Notamacropus eugenii: one gene and its partner. The protein of the gene in region 1 purifies or fractionates together with the protein of each later gene. This does not show direct contact. Links are inferred from orthologs where the notes say so. Each region holds a gene or a part of one and is shown in the gene's direction. Other genes may lie near its edges.

What was found.
Region 2: the proteins of PTCH1 (region 1) and GRK2 purify together in Homo sapiens (affinity purification with western blotting; 3 studies listed by BioGRID and IntAct, with this or other methods). This does not show direct contact. The link is inferred for Notamacropus eugenii from reciprocal best matches to the Homo sapiens genes PTCH1 and GRK2.

The regions. Positions count from the first base shown.
Region 1 is NC_092874.1:328,558,220-328,566,209, forward strand, and holds the start of PTCH1 (protein patched homolog 1), read left to right. Parts: upstream 1-4,807; 5' UTR 4,808-6,620; coding exon 6,621-7,043; intron 7,044-7,990.
Region 2 is NC_092873.1:19,722,081-19,729,488, forward strand, and holds the start of GRK2 (beta-adrenergic receptor kinase 1), read left to right. Parts: upstream 1-4,308; 5' UTR 4,309-4,323; coding exon 4,324-5,000; intron 5,001-7,408. UniProt on the Homo sapiens protein: Specifically phosphorylates the agonist-occupied form of the beta-adrenergic and closely related receptors, probably inducing a desensitization of them. Key regulator of LPAR1 signaling.

The DNA.
Region 1 (7,990 bases):
TTGCATTCAATAATGACTCCAAATACATCAAAGTAACAGAGTCAGAAAGATATTCCGCAAGAGAAAAAAACACCCACACCACAATCATTTCTGTGTTTTATTCAAAACTGCTTTGTGGACAAGCCTTATTGCAGCTGATGAGATCTTCAGCAGTCTTGAATTCCCTGCCATTGTGGCTACTGCAGGAAGTATAATTCCCACTACATTTTAATATTTGGGGTGCCTTCACTAATAACCTTGGTCTGATGAATGCGGAGATATCTGGGATGCTGGTGGGACATTTCTCTACCCCCCACCCCTCTCTGGGAGCTCAATAAATGCCAATGCTCCTGGGTTTGTGCTGTAGATCTCTCTTTTACTCCTTTGTAGAGTTTGGGGCAGCTTCCCATTAAAGGAGATCAGGGGTAATTAGCAGCATTATTTTGACAAGTTGGGTCGAGCTGTTCCCTTTCTTACATCCCTGAGCAGGGGGAGAAGGGGAGGGGGTAAGTAGAGGAAAAGAGAGTGGGGGAGGGAGAAGGAGGTCAAGCCCAGTGTCTTGAGATTCTATGGCAGCTGAATACTTTCTTTTCTCAACCCTGAAACTTTTTAGAACCATTTGGTCTAATTTCTGTCTCTAGGCTCCACCTTTCAATTCCTTCAAGAGAACTTGTAAGGAAATACACAAACATTTATAAGGAGATAATATGGCATTGTTAAGGAGCAAGAAATGCAGCAAATAGTGGAACACTAGATTGTCAAGACTCCTGGGATCTGTTTGAGACATCTCAACGCCTAAACTCATTTTCTGTCCTTGGGCAACTCACTGGACGTTTGTATTTGTTTTATCGTCTACAAACCGAAATTATGCTATTACTATGCCCTGTGAAACTGACAGCAATATTGTAAGGAGTAGTGTGTTACGTCAAAAGTTCTTTGCATTTCTGAAAAGTAAATGCAATATAAAAAGCAAAGTATTACTATTGCATTTTATTAGGTTAGAGATGGTTGAAATTAAGCAAATGAAATTCATACTGAAAACTGTGAATTATAAGACAAATGCATTGGGCATACTTATTCATATGTTGTTTACATGGATGGCATTACACAAAAGGCAGCTTATGGTATCATACAAACACCACGTTATCAAGTATTGAAGTCCAAGGGTTACATTGAACATCCAAAGAGTAAGGAGGGAACAACATTCCAAAAGGTAACTGGAAGATCATTCGGGGGTTCATAACCATACTCTGTTCTGTTCCTCTATTTAGCTATATCTTGCTTTGCTCACTTCACTCTGTAATATTCAAACACAGAGGCCAGGCGTTTTGTTGTCCATGTCCTATTGAATTTGGATAATCAAATGTAGATTTCAGAACTGTGTTGTAGGACCATGGGAAGTTAAAGTGTTAGAACAGAGAAAGGGGGAATGAAACACAAGGAGGGATTCTTCAGTTCACAGAATTTAACTGAAGTCTTTGGACCACAAGGGAAGAAAAGTTAACCCATGTATTGAAATATGGTCTAAAAGGAATATGAAAGGAGGCAAATCAGATGTTTCTTCATCTATACTGAAAAGTTCTGCCAGTCCACAAGGTCTCAAGTGATCACGTGTTTGACAGATCTACAAGGGAAGCTAAGGAATAAAGGCTATTCTTCAAGGACTCTCACTGAGAGACACCTTAGCAGGCCCTGTTCATCCAAACCAGCTCCATATCAGGTCTGTGGGATCCTTGTGATTAGTTGAAGTTAACAAAACCTGGTGTCGAGCAGCAGTTACATGCACAGGGCATGCATATTAAAGCCAACAATGCTTACAAATGTAAATAAGGGCAGATTGATTAAGAACAACATTATCGCTGGGAATGTAGCACTCGCATGCATCAGCAATGAGGCAAATTGGGGGCAGCCTCAGCCCTGACCACCCATGTTGAGACAGGCTTTTACACTGGCACCTCTTCCTTTTTAAAAAACATTGCAGAAACCAGGCCAATTAGATCCCCAAAGTAATTCATCTCTTGTGTATGAAAAAAGCAGACCACAGGGGGAGAAGAGAAGGGAAGGGATGGGAGAGAGATTAAGATAGTGCTTGTTAAATCTGAGGTTCCAGATTGAGTTTGGGAACCAGTGAGAAGAATATACCAGCAGGGCATTGTCTAAGATCATGAAAAGTTAACCTATCAAACAGGAGGCAAAGAGGGGTGGTAGAAAGGCGTCATGTATTTTAAACTTCAGGCATCAATATTCAAAGTATTTCGAAATAAAGTAAGACTGAATGAAATTAACATGGAAGGATGACATCTTACTCTTGAAAGGATACCAGTGTAGAAGCAGAAGAATGTTTCTTCCATGTAAAAATGAACTAATATTCACTACCATATCTTCCTTGAGTGTGGTACTCTAAATATTAAACAACATTAAGAAACAATGAATATTAACTTAAATGATCAATGAGATAACATTCAGACAAAAATTTTGATACAAAAATTTTAAGAATTTGAAATGTGATTTATGATATAGTTGCTTTATCTTCAGCAGCTGAAGAAACATGCAAACCTCTACACTCTTATACGTATGTGGTAACATCTGATTGTCCTAACAATCTGTATTAGCTCTGTTACTTACCATTAGGACCTTGGGCAAGTCACAACCTCTCTGGGCATCTGTAAAACTAAGAGCTTTGAAGTATCTTCCAGCTCTAAATATATGGTCCTCTCCTATAAATGAGTCGAAATGAGAGATAGCCTCAACATTGACAGAAGTTATTGAAAATGTACACTGAGCACTTCTTAATATAACCTGAAATCTTGGCTGGCTCATACAGTATGTGACATCAATACAATTTGATGGTGCTTCTCAGATTTTAAAAGCAATTTTCACTATAAGATTAATTTTTCATATTACAGCTTTGTCATGTATTAATACAAAACTTCCTGCAATCCTGTTTAGTTCCAACACTATTCTGTCTTTTATTTACACTGTTTGATCATACTGGCTTTTTAAGAGGTCTTGTTGTAGATAATGCCTACATCTACAGTGAATTGCCACATACTAAAATGATGTCCCAGTTAAGACATTCAATTTTAAATTTCCCGGCTGCCTGGCTACTCTTCCTTTTATGATATGAAACCGCCCACGTACATCTGTGCCCCATCTCATCTTTGAGAGTGTCACTTTGTGAAAGCCCTTCTTATAAGTGAGGTTTCCTTCTACCTCTTCTGGGTCAGGACTATGACTGAGGAAGAAAGAAAAACTGGTTCCAAGAGTAAATTAGAGGAAGGAAAGGGGAGAAAAGGAAAGAAAGAAGGAAAGAAGGAAGGAAAGAAAGAAGGAAGGAAGGAAGGAAGGAAGGAAGGAAGGAAGGAAGGAAGGAAAGAAGGAAGGAAGGAAGGAAGGAAGGAAGGAAGGAAGGAAGGAAGAAATGGGGTCTAGGAAGAGGATGGGGGAAAAGATGAAAGGCAAAGGAAAGAAAGGAGGGATAGGGAGAGAGAGGGAGAGAGAGGAGAGAGAGAGAGAGAGAGAGACGTCAACAAGCAGTTTTTAAACCTATGTGCTCAGCACTGTACAAAGCGCTGGAAATACAAAGAAATGCAAGAAAACGAGTTAGGGAAAGATGAAAAAGAGAAAGCTATGCATCAGTAAGGAGGAAGAGAAAGAAAAGAGGGAAGGAGTGGCACTGAGACATCCTAGGAACTGAAGGAAGGCGCCGGATTCTTTCTGCCAGAGCCGCGTGCGCTGGAATCAGCGGGCTTGTCTCTCCACCGGCCGGCAGCCCGTGACATCTTCCAAGACTTGGGGCAGAATTGAATGGAAATGTTTCCTTTCTTTGCTGCTATTGGCCGGTAGTAGTCAAGCCTCGTTGGTATTGGGTAACGTAAAGGGGGAAGAGACCTCCTTTAGGAATGTACTATGGCTTGTCTGGCATGCCTTTCGGCACCGGCAGCGGCGCATAACTGGGGTGGGAGGGGCAGCCTTCCCCTTTTTCCTCCGGCTTCTTAACGACACGAACTCCTTGGAGCGGGGAGGGAAAAGGAAGGAGGAAGGAAAAGAGTAATGAAAATCCCGATGGACGTGCCCCGACTGGGTGAATCCCAAAGCCGGGCAGGCAGCGAGGGTACTCTCCCTTTCCGCTCCTGCCTTGTCACTTGCCTGTCCAGCGGCGTGAGTTCCCTCCACCCCCAGCCCCCCGCCTCCTCACGCTTGGACACGCACGCACGCACGCACCCCCAGGCAGGGGAGCTGGTAGATCTGCAGCAGCTCCAGAGGACTGGGGCTCAGCTCCCGGCTCGTTGGTCACGTGGCCTCGCCCAGACTCCACCTCCCCGCTGCCTCGCCCCCTCCCCCTCTTCATCCCCGCCCCTCCTACTTTCCCTCCATCTGGGGTTCTTTCTTTTCTCTCCTTTCCTTTCTTTCTTCTTTTTTTTCAATGAACACACACCGAGTGCACCTTAAAGCAACACTCCCCTATTTCGCTGCCTCCATCAGCACAACATCCCGCTAGTTTCCTCGCAATGCAGTCGAGTTTAAAAAAAAAGAAGCTAGTGCCCTGATCGCCACTGCGGGGAGAAATTTCATAACTTGCAAAGCTAAGGGGGAAAACAAAAACAAACACCAAAAATCCCACCCACGTTCTTAAAAAAAAAAAAAAGCGGTCGAGCCAGCCTAGTTTCTGAGACATTTTGCAAGGCAAGCCCCTACTGCTGGCAAATTAACCATGTACGCTTCCAAAAGGGGCTATTTATCCCAATGGGAAAGTAAAGCCTAGGATGTCTTCGTGACCTTAGCTAAAGCGTCGGGATGGGTACTTACAGTCAGTGCACAATTTGTTTCGAATGAATTCAACATCAAAGCCTTTATTCCTCCCTACGTCACGCTATTACTAAATATATAGAGGATGCGTACCGCTTTTTAAAAAGTCAGTTCGCAACTGACTTTAAATAAATATGTACGCGTACTAAAAGGGGGTCAGAATGAAGCAAACTGAGTGGCAGTAACTTTTTTTCTTTTGAAGGAAATAAGACAATTCAATTTTGCCAAAATTTCAAATGACTCTCTTTTTAAACTATGCGATCATTTAGATTCAAATAAAAACAGCCCCCCCCCCCCAACTCCCATATACAATTGCTGCGGGTGTCTGGATGCTATAGTATAAATCACTAATTTCTTCCTTGAATATAGTAAGTGTTTAGGGGGAGGGGGCTGGTGTAGGCAGGGGATTTGGAGGCGGTTGTTGTTTTTTAAGGTTCTTGTGTTGTATTATTTAACTTTCCGTTTTGTTTATCTTTAATGTATGGCGTATTTCTCTTGCGAGAGACCGTCTTCCTTTTAGTTATAAAAGAAAGCGGCGGGGGGGGGGGGGGGGGGGTGGAATTGGCACGCACTACCTCGGTATCCACCACCCTGTCATTATTGGTTCAAGCCTGGGAATTCAAGTCGGACCTCCCAGTATTTGCTACAGCTTGAGGCCAAGGTGCCTCTGAATAGATTTTCTTTTTAGGAGTTTCTGAAATTCTTTAAGCGCTTTAAAAAATATTACTTTTTTTGTACATCGCGAGGTGTGTGTGTGTGTGTGTGTGTGTGTGTGTGTGTGTATGTGTGTGTGTGTGCGTGCAAAAAAAAGCGTCTCATAAAAAGAAGACACTTTTCAAAAGAAAAGGAAGGGGGGAGCATTCCTTAATGGAAGTATTGCATGCAAGAAGGTTGGAGCTCTTTAAGGCTCCCCTTGAAGCTGGGGATGCACACACTAGGGTTGCCTGCCTGGGTGGTCTCTCTACTTTGGTGAGCTGTTGCTAAGCAGCTAATAATAGTCATGTTTGCTGAGTAATTTCTGCCCTCCTTGAGCCAATCACATCGCAGAAATCCTAGCCATCTGACAGCCCCAGGGGCGGGAGCTCCAGCCTTTTTCTCTCTCGCTGGCTCTCTCCCCCTCCACCCCCTCCCCTCCTCCTCCTCTTTCTCCAAATGGAGAGAGTTCTTTTTTTTCTTCTTCCATCTCATCTATTGAATCAAGGAGCTGCTGCTGCTTGCTGCACACACGCAGACTGGAGTCCCAAAGTCCCGGGAGTCAGAGACCAGCGCTGCACTGAAACAGAATGGTACAGCGAGTCGGCAAGGAGCAGAAGCCAGAGCCAGAGTCGAAGGAGCAATCCCAGCAGCAGCCTCCGCCTCCAGCAGCAGCACCAGCGAGAGCAGGAGCAGCAACTCCCCAGCAGCACTGAGAAGAGCAAAGGAAGCTCGGATTCTGCCGTGGCTTTTTGCTTTCTTCCCGGAGAACCAACTCAAGAAAAGGAGCCGAGGGAGAAAGCCCCGGTGGCGGGATCTCTGGGGGTTTCCTCACATTTTCCCAAGTAAAAGGGTCTGGAAAAGGGGGCAAACAAGGAGCGAAGGAAGCGGCGGTGGGGATTGTTTGGTGGTGGTGAAGGAGACACCGGGGGGAGGGGGGGGCAAGCAGGAAAGAGAGAGGCTCGCCCCCCGTGCGCGCACACACACATACGGATCCCTCTCACCCTCTTCGCGAACTGGATGTGGGAAGCGGCCGCAGCAGAGACCTCCGGATCACCACGAAATGTTGCAATGGAAGGCACAGGTCCTGACTCTTCTCCAACAGCAGCAGCGGCAGCAGCAGCAGCAGCCCCCGCGGTATGAGGAGGTCTGTCAGCAGCAGCAGCGACCACAGCAAAAGCCGGAGCCACCCGCAGAAAGAAGCGTCCTCCGGAGCCTACTCCCCGGCATCACCAGCCAGCTCCAGCAGCGCGCCGTGGTGGTGGTGGTGGTGGGGGAACCGAGACAAGCCAGCCCGCCTGATGCGGGAGCAGCAGGGGCAGCTCAGTCACCGCGGCGGCGGCGGCGGCAACATGGCCTCAGCTGTTAACATTGCGGAGCCTGAGAGCGGCGGCGGCGGCGGCAGCGGAGGCTGCGGCAGAGACCCCAGTCTGCCTGGGGGAAACGGCAGCAGGAGGCGGAGAAGGACCGGGGGGAGCCGACGTGCCGGGGCACCAGACCTGGAGTATCTGCAGCGGCCGAGCTACTGCGATGCGGCTTTCGCGTTGGAGCAGATTTCAAAGGTGCATTTCTGTATTTCTTTTCCCTCCTTCTGGACTTCCCTCGCATCCCTTTCCATCTTCTCCTTTTTCTCTTTGGAAGCACCCGTACGAATACACACACTCCCCTCTTTTGGATAAAGAAATAGACTAGGGGAAATGAAAAACCCAAACACACCCACCAGCTTTGGAAGGAAAGGGATGTCTAACTAATGCAGGGGGTGGAAGTGTGTGTGTGTGTGTGTGTGTGTGTGTGTGTGTGTGACTGTGTAACGTGCTCTCCCTGTCTAGTGTACACTTTCTGGGTCATTCGAATTATTCTCCCATTAAACCAATCCAGAAAAAGACTTAAGGTTGGTACTGGCTCTCTCTCCCTCTATCCTTTCTCTAGGTTGGCTTTTCTCTCTCTCTCCTCTAATGCTGCCACATTTCTTAACATATTTTGGGGGTGGGGGTGGAGGGAGGCGGGGAGAGGAAGGAGGAGGGGGTAGAAATAAAGGTGGTTTCCTTTTTTGGCAGCCCGTTTTGCTTTTGTTAAGCTTTGAGTAAGCGTGAAATCTCAAATCCTTTAAAAATCGCCTTTGAGGAGAAGATATTTTCCCTTCTCTTCTTTTTGACCGGTTTACCCTGACCTCCAACTCGTAGGAAAAGTGAAAGTTGTAAACAAATTGCCACCTTAAATCTGCGGTGCAGGTCTGACTGAGTCGCCGGGTTCATTGTGTTCGTTACTCTTACTGAAATGTGTGGAATCCAGGAATTCCGTGTAAACATATTGTAGCAGAGAGAATCCCCGGTTACTGATTCTGAAGAAGAAATATCTGCGAGAATAAACAACGCCCAGATATTTCCCTTTCCATAAACGTTATTTTCCTTTCAGAGAGCAGATTTTTTAAAATGCTTCAGCAAGAAGGGAAAGGGGAGGGAAAAAAATCCATGTGGCTGCCCTCTTCTGTTCACAAATATTGTCGTAA
Region 2 (7,408 bases), on another chromosome or scaffold:
TTTGTAATAACGCAAGAACCTTTAAAAAAAAAATTCCCAATGGTTTTCTAAGGCAAAATGCCTGCCACACTCAGAGAAAAAACTATGGAATTCATTCGCAGAATGTAGCAGATCATGTTTGTGTGTGTGTGTGTGTGTGTGTATTATGTTTTGATTTGTTATATGATTTCTTCCATTTATTTTAGTTCGTCTACATAGCATGACTATCGTGAAAACATATTCAATAGGAAAGTATATGTAGATCCTATATAGAATTGTATGCTGTCTTGGGGAGGGAGAGGGGAGGAGGGGGGTAGGTGTGGAGGGGTTAAAATCTAAGTTTTATGGTAGTGATTGTAGAACACTAAAAAATAAAATAAAATTTTAAAAAATGCTGAGAAAAATAACTCCTTAAAAATCAGAATTGGTCAAATGAAATAAAAGAAGTATAAAACATCACTGAAGAAAATAACTCCTTAAAAACAAAATCAATCAAGTGGCAGTTAATGACTCCACAAGATATCCAGAAAGAATAAAACAAAATCAAAAGATTAAAAAAAAGGAGAAAAGTGTGAGATATCTCATTGGAAAAACAGCTGATTTAGAAAATAGACTGAGGAGAGATTACTTAGGAAGTATTGGATCCCATATGAAGCCCATGATCCACAGAGAGAAAGAGAGAGAGAGAGAGAGAGAGAGAGAGAGAGAGAGAGAGAGAGAGAGCCTAGACATCATATCTGAAGGAGTTATAAAGGGAAACTGTTCAGATATCACAAAGGGCAAAATAGAAATTGAAGAATTCACTGTTAACCTCTTGAAAAAAATCCCAAAATGAAAAGTCAGGAATGTTATAGCCAAATTCAAAGACTCCCAGTTCAAAGAGAAAATACCGAAAGCAGCCAGAAAGAAACAATTCAAATATCACAAAGCCACAGTCAGGCTCACACAAGATTTAGCAGCTTCCATGTTAAAGAAGTGGAGTATAATATTGGAATATATATAATATTGGAATATAATATTCCAGAGGACAAAGGAGCTAGAACTGTAACCAAGATTAACACAATCTTTCAGAGTTTGAAAAAAGGGATATTTAATGAAATAGAGTACCTTCAAGCATTCCTAATAAAAAGGCAAGACCTGAACAGAAAATCTGACATTCAAACAGAAGACTCAGGAGAAGTATAAAAAGGTAAAGATGAGTGAAAAATCACAAGGGACTTAACAAGGTTGAACTGTTTACATTCGTATATGGGAGAGTGACATATGTAACCTCTAAGAAGTTCATCATGAGTAGGGCAGTTAGGAGTCTACTTTGACAGAGGGTATAAATGTGAGTCTACTCTTCAAAAGAAGAATAGAAAGGTGAGAAAGAGGGATGAACTGGGAGAAAGGGGGAGGGAGGAGAATGGAGAAATGATCTCACATAAAAGAGGAATACAAGAAAGAGTTTTTACAATGGAGGGGAAAATGGGAGTGGGGGAATGGACTGTGGTTGAATGTCATTCTCATCTGATCTAGTTCAAAGAGAGGGAGCGAGGAAAGGATTGGGGAGAGAGATGTGTGTGTGTGTGTGTGTGTGTGTGTGTATGTGTGTATATACACACATACATACACACACACATATACATATGTTTATTTTTATACACTCACAGTTGGGCATAGAAATTCATTTTACCAACAAGGAAGTATGAGTGGATGGGGCTAAGAGAAATGGGGGGGGGGGTAAGAAGAAAGAGGATAGGATTAAGATAGGCAGTGACTTCAAACAAAACAGACTTTTAATGAGGGGGGAGGGGAAAAAGAGAATAAAAAGAAGAAAATAGGATGGAGTGAAATATACAGTTAGCAATTATAACTGTGAATGTGAATAGGATGAGTTCACTCATTAAATGGAAGAGAATGGATTAGAAACCAGAATCCAACAATATGTTTGTTGTTAACAAAAAACACACTTGAAACAGAAAGACTTACACAGATTTAAAATTAGAAGCTACAGCAGAATTTTACTATGCTTTGGTTGAATAAAAAAAGGCAACGTTAACAATCATGATCTAAGAAAAAGCAAAAGTAGATAATTAGAGAATCTAAATCTATCCCATATATATTAATAATATATAATAGACAATATCTAATAATCTAATTAAATAGATCTAAAGAGATAATCAAAGATATTGTATTTTGCTAAAAGTTACCATAGACAGTGAATTATAATAATACTGAACACAGAGGCACTAAATAGCAAAGAATCCAATTTTTTTCTTAATTTTTGGTTTGGTTTTTGAAGGATCCAAATTTTTGAAGGAAAAGTTAAATAAGTTACAGGAGAAAACAGTAAAACTATACTAATGGGAGGCCTTTTTGTATCCCTGGTACTTAGCATGCCTGCTTGTTGATGAGCTGATGAATGGATCCCGAGTATTTTTATTACCAAATTCAAACTCCTGTTTGATATTTAAAACCCCTCACAGACTCATTTTAACCTACCTTTCCATACTCTTAATCTGGACAAATACGTTGTCTTTCTATTTTTCATGAAGGACATTCTCTCTCCTGCCTGTTCCTTTCTATGGGCTGACTTCCATGCCTGGAATGTTCTTCCTCCTCTCGACTCTTTCACAGAATCTCAAGTTTTCTTCAAAGTTCAGTTCAAGCAAGACCTTTTACATCAAGCCTACCTGGATCCAGCCACCACCCCTCCCCACCCCCAACCCCACCTCCAGCTGAGAAAATCTACTTCCTAGTTATTTTGTATCATCTTTCCTGATCTAATAGAAGCTCCCTGAGGGGAGAGAGTCTTTATTTCTGCCTTTGTATTCCTGGTGTCTCGTAATAGTTGAATGAACAAGTATTTAAGTTTCTCCCACCCTGGACTAGGTCCCAGGATGCAAAACTAGCAAATGAAACATCCTGGGTTCTCAAAGGGCAAGGGCTTACATTCTAGTTTACTGATGGCTGGTTGTCTTGAAGGCCTGTCTTGGGGAGGAAGGAGTATGCTTGTTCTCCTTGGCTCCTGGAGGCAGAAGCAGGACTCATAAGTGGAAGTGGAGAAGTCAGATTTAGGCTTGATGTCAGGGAAAGGGAAAAGAAGGGAATAGGCATGTATTAAGCACCTCCTATGTACCAGGCACTGGGCTAAATATGTCATTCTGTCCTCCCAACAATCCTTCAAGGCAGGTGAGGCCCATTTTACAGGATGCATTGTCAGGATCGTTGTGTGGTGGTGACTCTGGAAGGTGTTAGCTTAAGATAACCTCCCCGTGAGCTCTCCGAGGTCTGACAGGCTGAAAAAGGCCGGCGGTGGCTCCCTCGGGGGTCCTCAGTCCATTATGACTATTTCCGGTTTATCCCGTCCGAGTCTGGTTTATACTTGGTTATCCGTCTCCCCTCCCCAATGAGCTTCGGTCTTCTGCCTTTCTGTGAATCCCCCAGTGCTTAGCCTAGTGCCTGGCACACAGTAGGTGATTGATTGGGGGCAGAGGGTGCCAAGATGCCCAGGTTTTTAGACTGCCTCTAAACACTCATCAGCGGTTGTCCGGCAGGGTGACTAAGGACAGGGATACCGGCCCCCCCTTGTCCCCTCAGTCCCTCTGTGCAGCGTGCTGGCCTGTGCGGGCGGCCCGCCCTCCCTAAGAGGACGGAGGCTCATCGAGGCCAGGCTACCCTCCTCCTCCAAGTATTTCCCATTCCTAGCACAGAGGGACTTGAGTTCAGGTTTGTGGGACTGAAACGGGCAGGTCTGGGGCCAGGGAGGTGGGGGGAGCCAGTGGGCCTGGAGCCCCAGGGCACGGCATGGAGGGCCAGGGCAAGATGGGGGGTTCCTGGGCCAGGGAGGCAGTCGGGGTGGGGAGGGGAGGCCGTCCATTGCCAAGGAACGTCTAAGAAGCGCCTACTATGTGCCAGGCAGGGCTAAGTTCCAGTGACAAGGCTCAGACAGCCAGGGCCAAGGTCTCGGAGATTCGAAGTCAGAATGGGGGGAGTCATGGGGGGCAGGGGGTACAAGCTGACTGACCCGGTTAGGGGCAGGTGGACACTGGGTAGTGCGGCCCTAGGGGGAGGTGTCGAGGTGCGGGAGGAGTGGGGGGAGGGTTCCCTGGGAGGGGGCGGGGTCTGGTGGGCAGCCCCTGGCAGGTGGGGGTCATATCTGCACAAGGAGGCACTCTGACGACACCCCTCCACCCCGGGCATCATTGGACGAGCCTACGTGGGCGGGGCCGGGGCGCGGAAGAAGAGGCGTTCTGGGGGCGGGGTTTACCCTAAGAGGGGACTGGGGGGAGGGATCGAGGCACTGTAGGGGGCGCTGTGGGGGGCGGAGGGCTGGGGGCGGGGCTTAGTCTGCAGCGGGCGATGCGAGTCAGACCTATCTCTTTAGGTAGGGGGCGCAGCTCTGGCTCTGCGCGCCCCCGCCCCTCCACAGCCGCCCCAGGGCGGACGCCGCGGACCCCGCCGGCAGGGGGCGCGGCGGCGCCCAGCGGGGGGCCGCGGCGGCGCACGACCTCGGCCGGCAGGGGGCGCAGCTCCTCGTCGGTGCGCTCCTTGTACTTGGCGCGGATCGGGGCCCCCCCCCAGTCGCCGCCCCCCCTCGCCCCGTGGCTGCTGCGGCGGCCGGGCCTGACGGGCGGGTGGTGCTCGGCTGCGCAGGCGGGGCCGGGGGCCGGAGCCGGAGCGGGGCAGGGGCCGGGGCCGCGGCGGGGCCGGAGCGGGAGCCGGAGGAGGCGGAGCAGCGGGCGCGGGCGTCATGGGGCGGCGCCGCCGCGTGTAGGCCGGGGCCGGGGCCGGGGCCGAGGCCGGGGCCGGGGAGGCCGGGCCGGGCCGCGGCGGGCGGAGGGCCTCGCCGTGCGGGGCGTGGAGGTCCAGGAGCGCCAGGGCAGCGGCGGCCAAGGCGGCCAGGGCGGCGAAGGGGGCTACAAGATGGCGGACCTGGAGGCCGTGCTGGCCGACGTGAGCTACCTGATGGCCATGGAGAAGAGCAAGGCCACGCCGGCGGCGCGGGCCAGCAAGAAGATCCTGCTGCCCGAGCCCAGGTGAGAGGCCCCGAAGCCCCCCCGGAAACCGACCCCGAGCCCCCCACCCCGAAACTGACCCTGAAACCCACCCTGAAACTGACCCTGAAATCTACCCTGAAACTGACCCTCAAACCCACCCTGAAACTGACCCTGAAATCTACCCTGAAACTGACCCTGAAACCCACCCTGAAACTGACCCTGAAACCCACCCTGAAACTGACCCTGAAATCTACCCTGAAACTGACCCTCAAACCCACCCTGAAACTGACCCTGAAACCCACCCTGAAACTGACCCTCAAACCCACCCTGAAACTGACCCTGAAACCCACCCTGAAACTGACCCTGAAACCCACCCTGAAACTGACCCTGAAATCTACCCTGAAACTGACCCTCAAACCCACCCTGAAACCGACTCCGAAACTGACCCTGCCAGAAAATGACCCTGAAACTTCCCCAGCCTGAAACTGAACCTAAACTTGGTCCCAGCCCCTAAGCTTAAGACTAACCCTGACACTAAACGTGGGACAGCCCTCAGAGCTCCCCCTCTCCTTCCATCCCTGACTGTCACCCTGGGCACCCCAGTGGCCTCGGCCGGACACTTGTCTCCTCCTGCTCTCCAGCAGTCCTTTCTTCTTCATGCCTGCCATCCCTCCCACCCCTCCTCCCCATACTGTCCATTCTGCGCTGCCCACAGGGTATCCCCAACTCATGCCGGCTCTGAGGCCTCATCTTTACTCCTCACACCTCCCCCGTGTCCATTTCAAACTTCTCATTGCCTAGCAACCCTTACCAATTTTCAGGCCCTTATTTCATCCCATAGACTCACCTAACCCCCCACCTGCCCCTCCAATCTTCTCCTTTCCTCTCATCCTCTCCCTCTCACCTCCAACACCCCACCCCCATGCTTACTCTGTCTGCTTATCACCTTTTTTCTCTTCTACTACGACTGTGATTTCTCCTCCTTAGACCCCTCTCTGTAACATACTCTCTCCCCTTTTACTATCAGTAATAAGTTCTTACTCTGGTTTGGCACTGAGATAAACGTTAGCGATACAAAGACAAAAGATAAAACCAGTTCCTGCCTTCAGGGAGTTTCCATTCTCATCTGGAGACAGTTTTCTGTTGGCCTGGCCCTGAACCTGTCCAGTTTCCCCCTGTCTTCCTATGCTTCTCCTACCCTCCTCAAAAATACCACTCACATCTTTGACTAGGACTTTCTCCTAATTCCTGCCTCTCCCTTCCCCACTAACCTTTGGCCAGAGATGGAATTTCAGCCAGTACTTTTGCTGAGGGATGACATTAAGGGGAGAAGACACATGTTTAGTGGCCTCTCTAGGGTACTTTCCACCTTGGAAGTTGATTTTGAGGATTTTGAGTCTGTCTTTCAACCAGAGGTGAAAGCCAAGGGGAATCTGTAGGGGATGGGATATGGCCAATGGTAAACAGCATTGTCGTCTCCCTCAGCCCCCAGACAGCTGGAGGGAGAGCCCCTTCCACTTGGGTGCCAGCAGGGAGTGTATAAATGCATAGCGTGGACCCAGATGCCATCTGTTCGTTACACTTGGGAGAAACACCCATGACGTCAGGCCTTCCCATATTCCTCCTCTGGCCTGGCTCCCCTGAGGTACCTAGAAGGGCCTGAGGTCTGCCTTGCCCTCCCTCCTGGACCATGTTTACAGTGGGACAGCTATGGCCTGATAATTCCATGTAGCAGCTGGGACACGGGTTACCCAAGGGGTGGCAGGTCCTTTCTGTCGTTTGTAAACTGAGAGCTTGGCCTGGTGCTTTGAGAGCCCATCCCAGATAATGGGGTGCCAGGGCCAGCAGGTTCCCTGGAGGGGGACAGCCTGCATGCACATGGAGTGTGTCTGGGTCAGGATTCCGAGGCATGAGCTCACTCTGGGTGTGACTATGTTTTCCTGGACCCTTGAGCGGGCTGGCTGGGTCAAAGTGAGAGTTGTGGGTGCCAGAGTCGGCCAGTGCTGAGCAGTGAGCCCCCCAGGCTGGCCCGTGGTACCCGCTCTCCTTTGCTCTCAGGGCATCTCCAGTCACTGGGTTTCAGATTGACTGAGTGTGGGGGACAGGAGAGGGGAATTTGCCTGCTGCTCATAAAGGCCCTTCCTTGGGGGCCCCTTTCTTTTCTGACTCTGGTGATCAGATTTCTGAAAACAGGAACTGGGGCTTACTGCGTGCGTGGTGCTACCCAGAGAGCACGGACAAGATGGGGCCCAGCAAGTTCAGAAATTGCCACGCTGGGGAAGGAGGAAGCTGGGGGAGCCCACAGCACTTGGAGTTCTTCGGGTGGGGACCCCAGAGGACCCAGAATGCACTAGGATCTGGCTGGATCCTGCTCAGGTGTAGGGAACCTGAGGGGCTGATCACTGCCTCTTCTCCTAGCTTCCCTTTTCTGGGACGGGAGTAAGCAA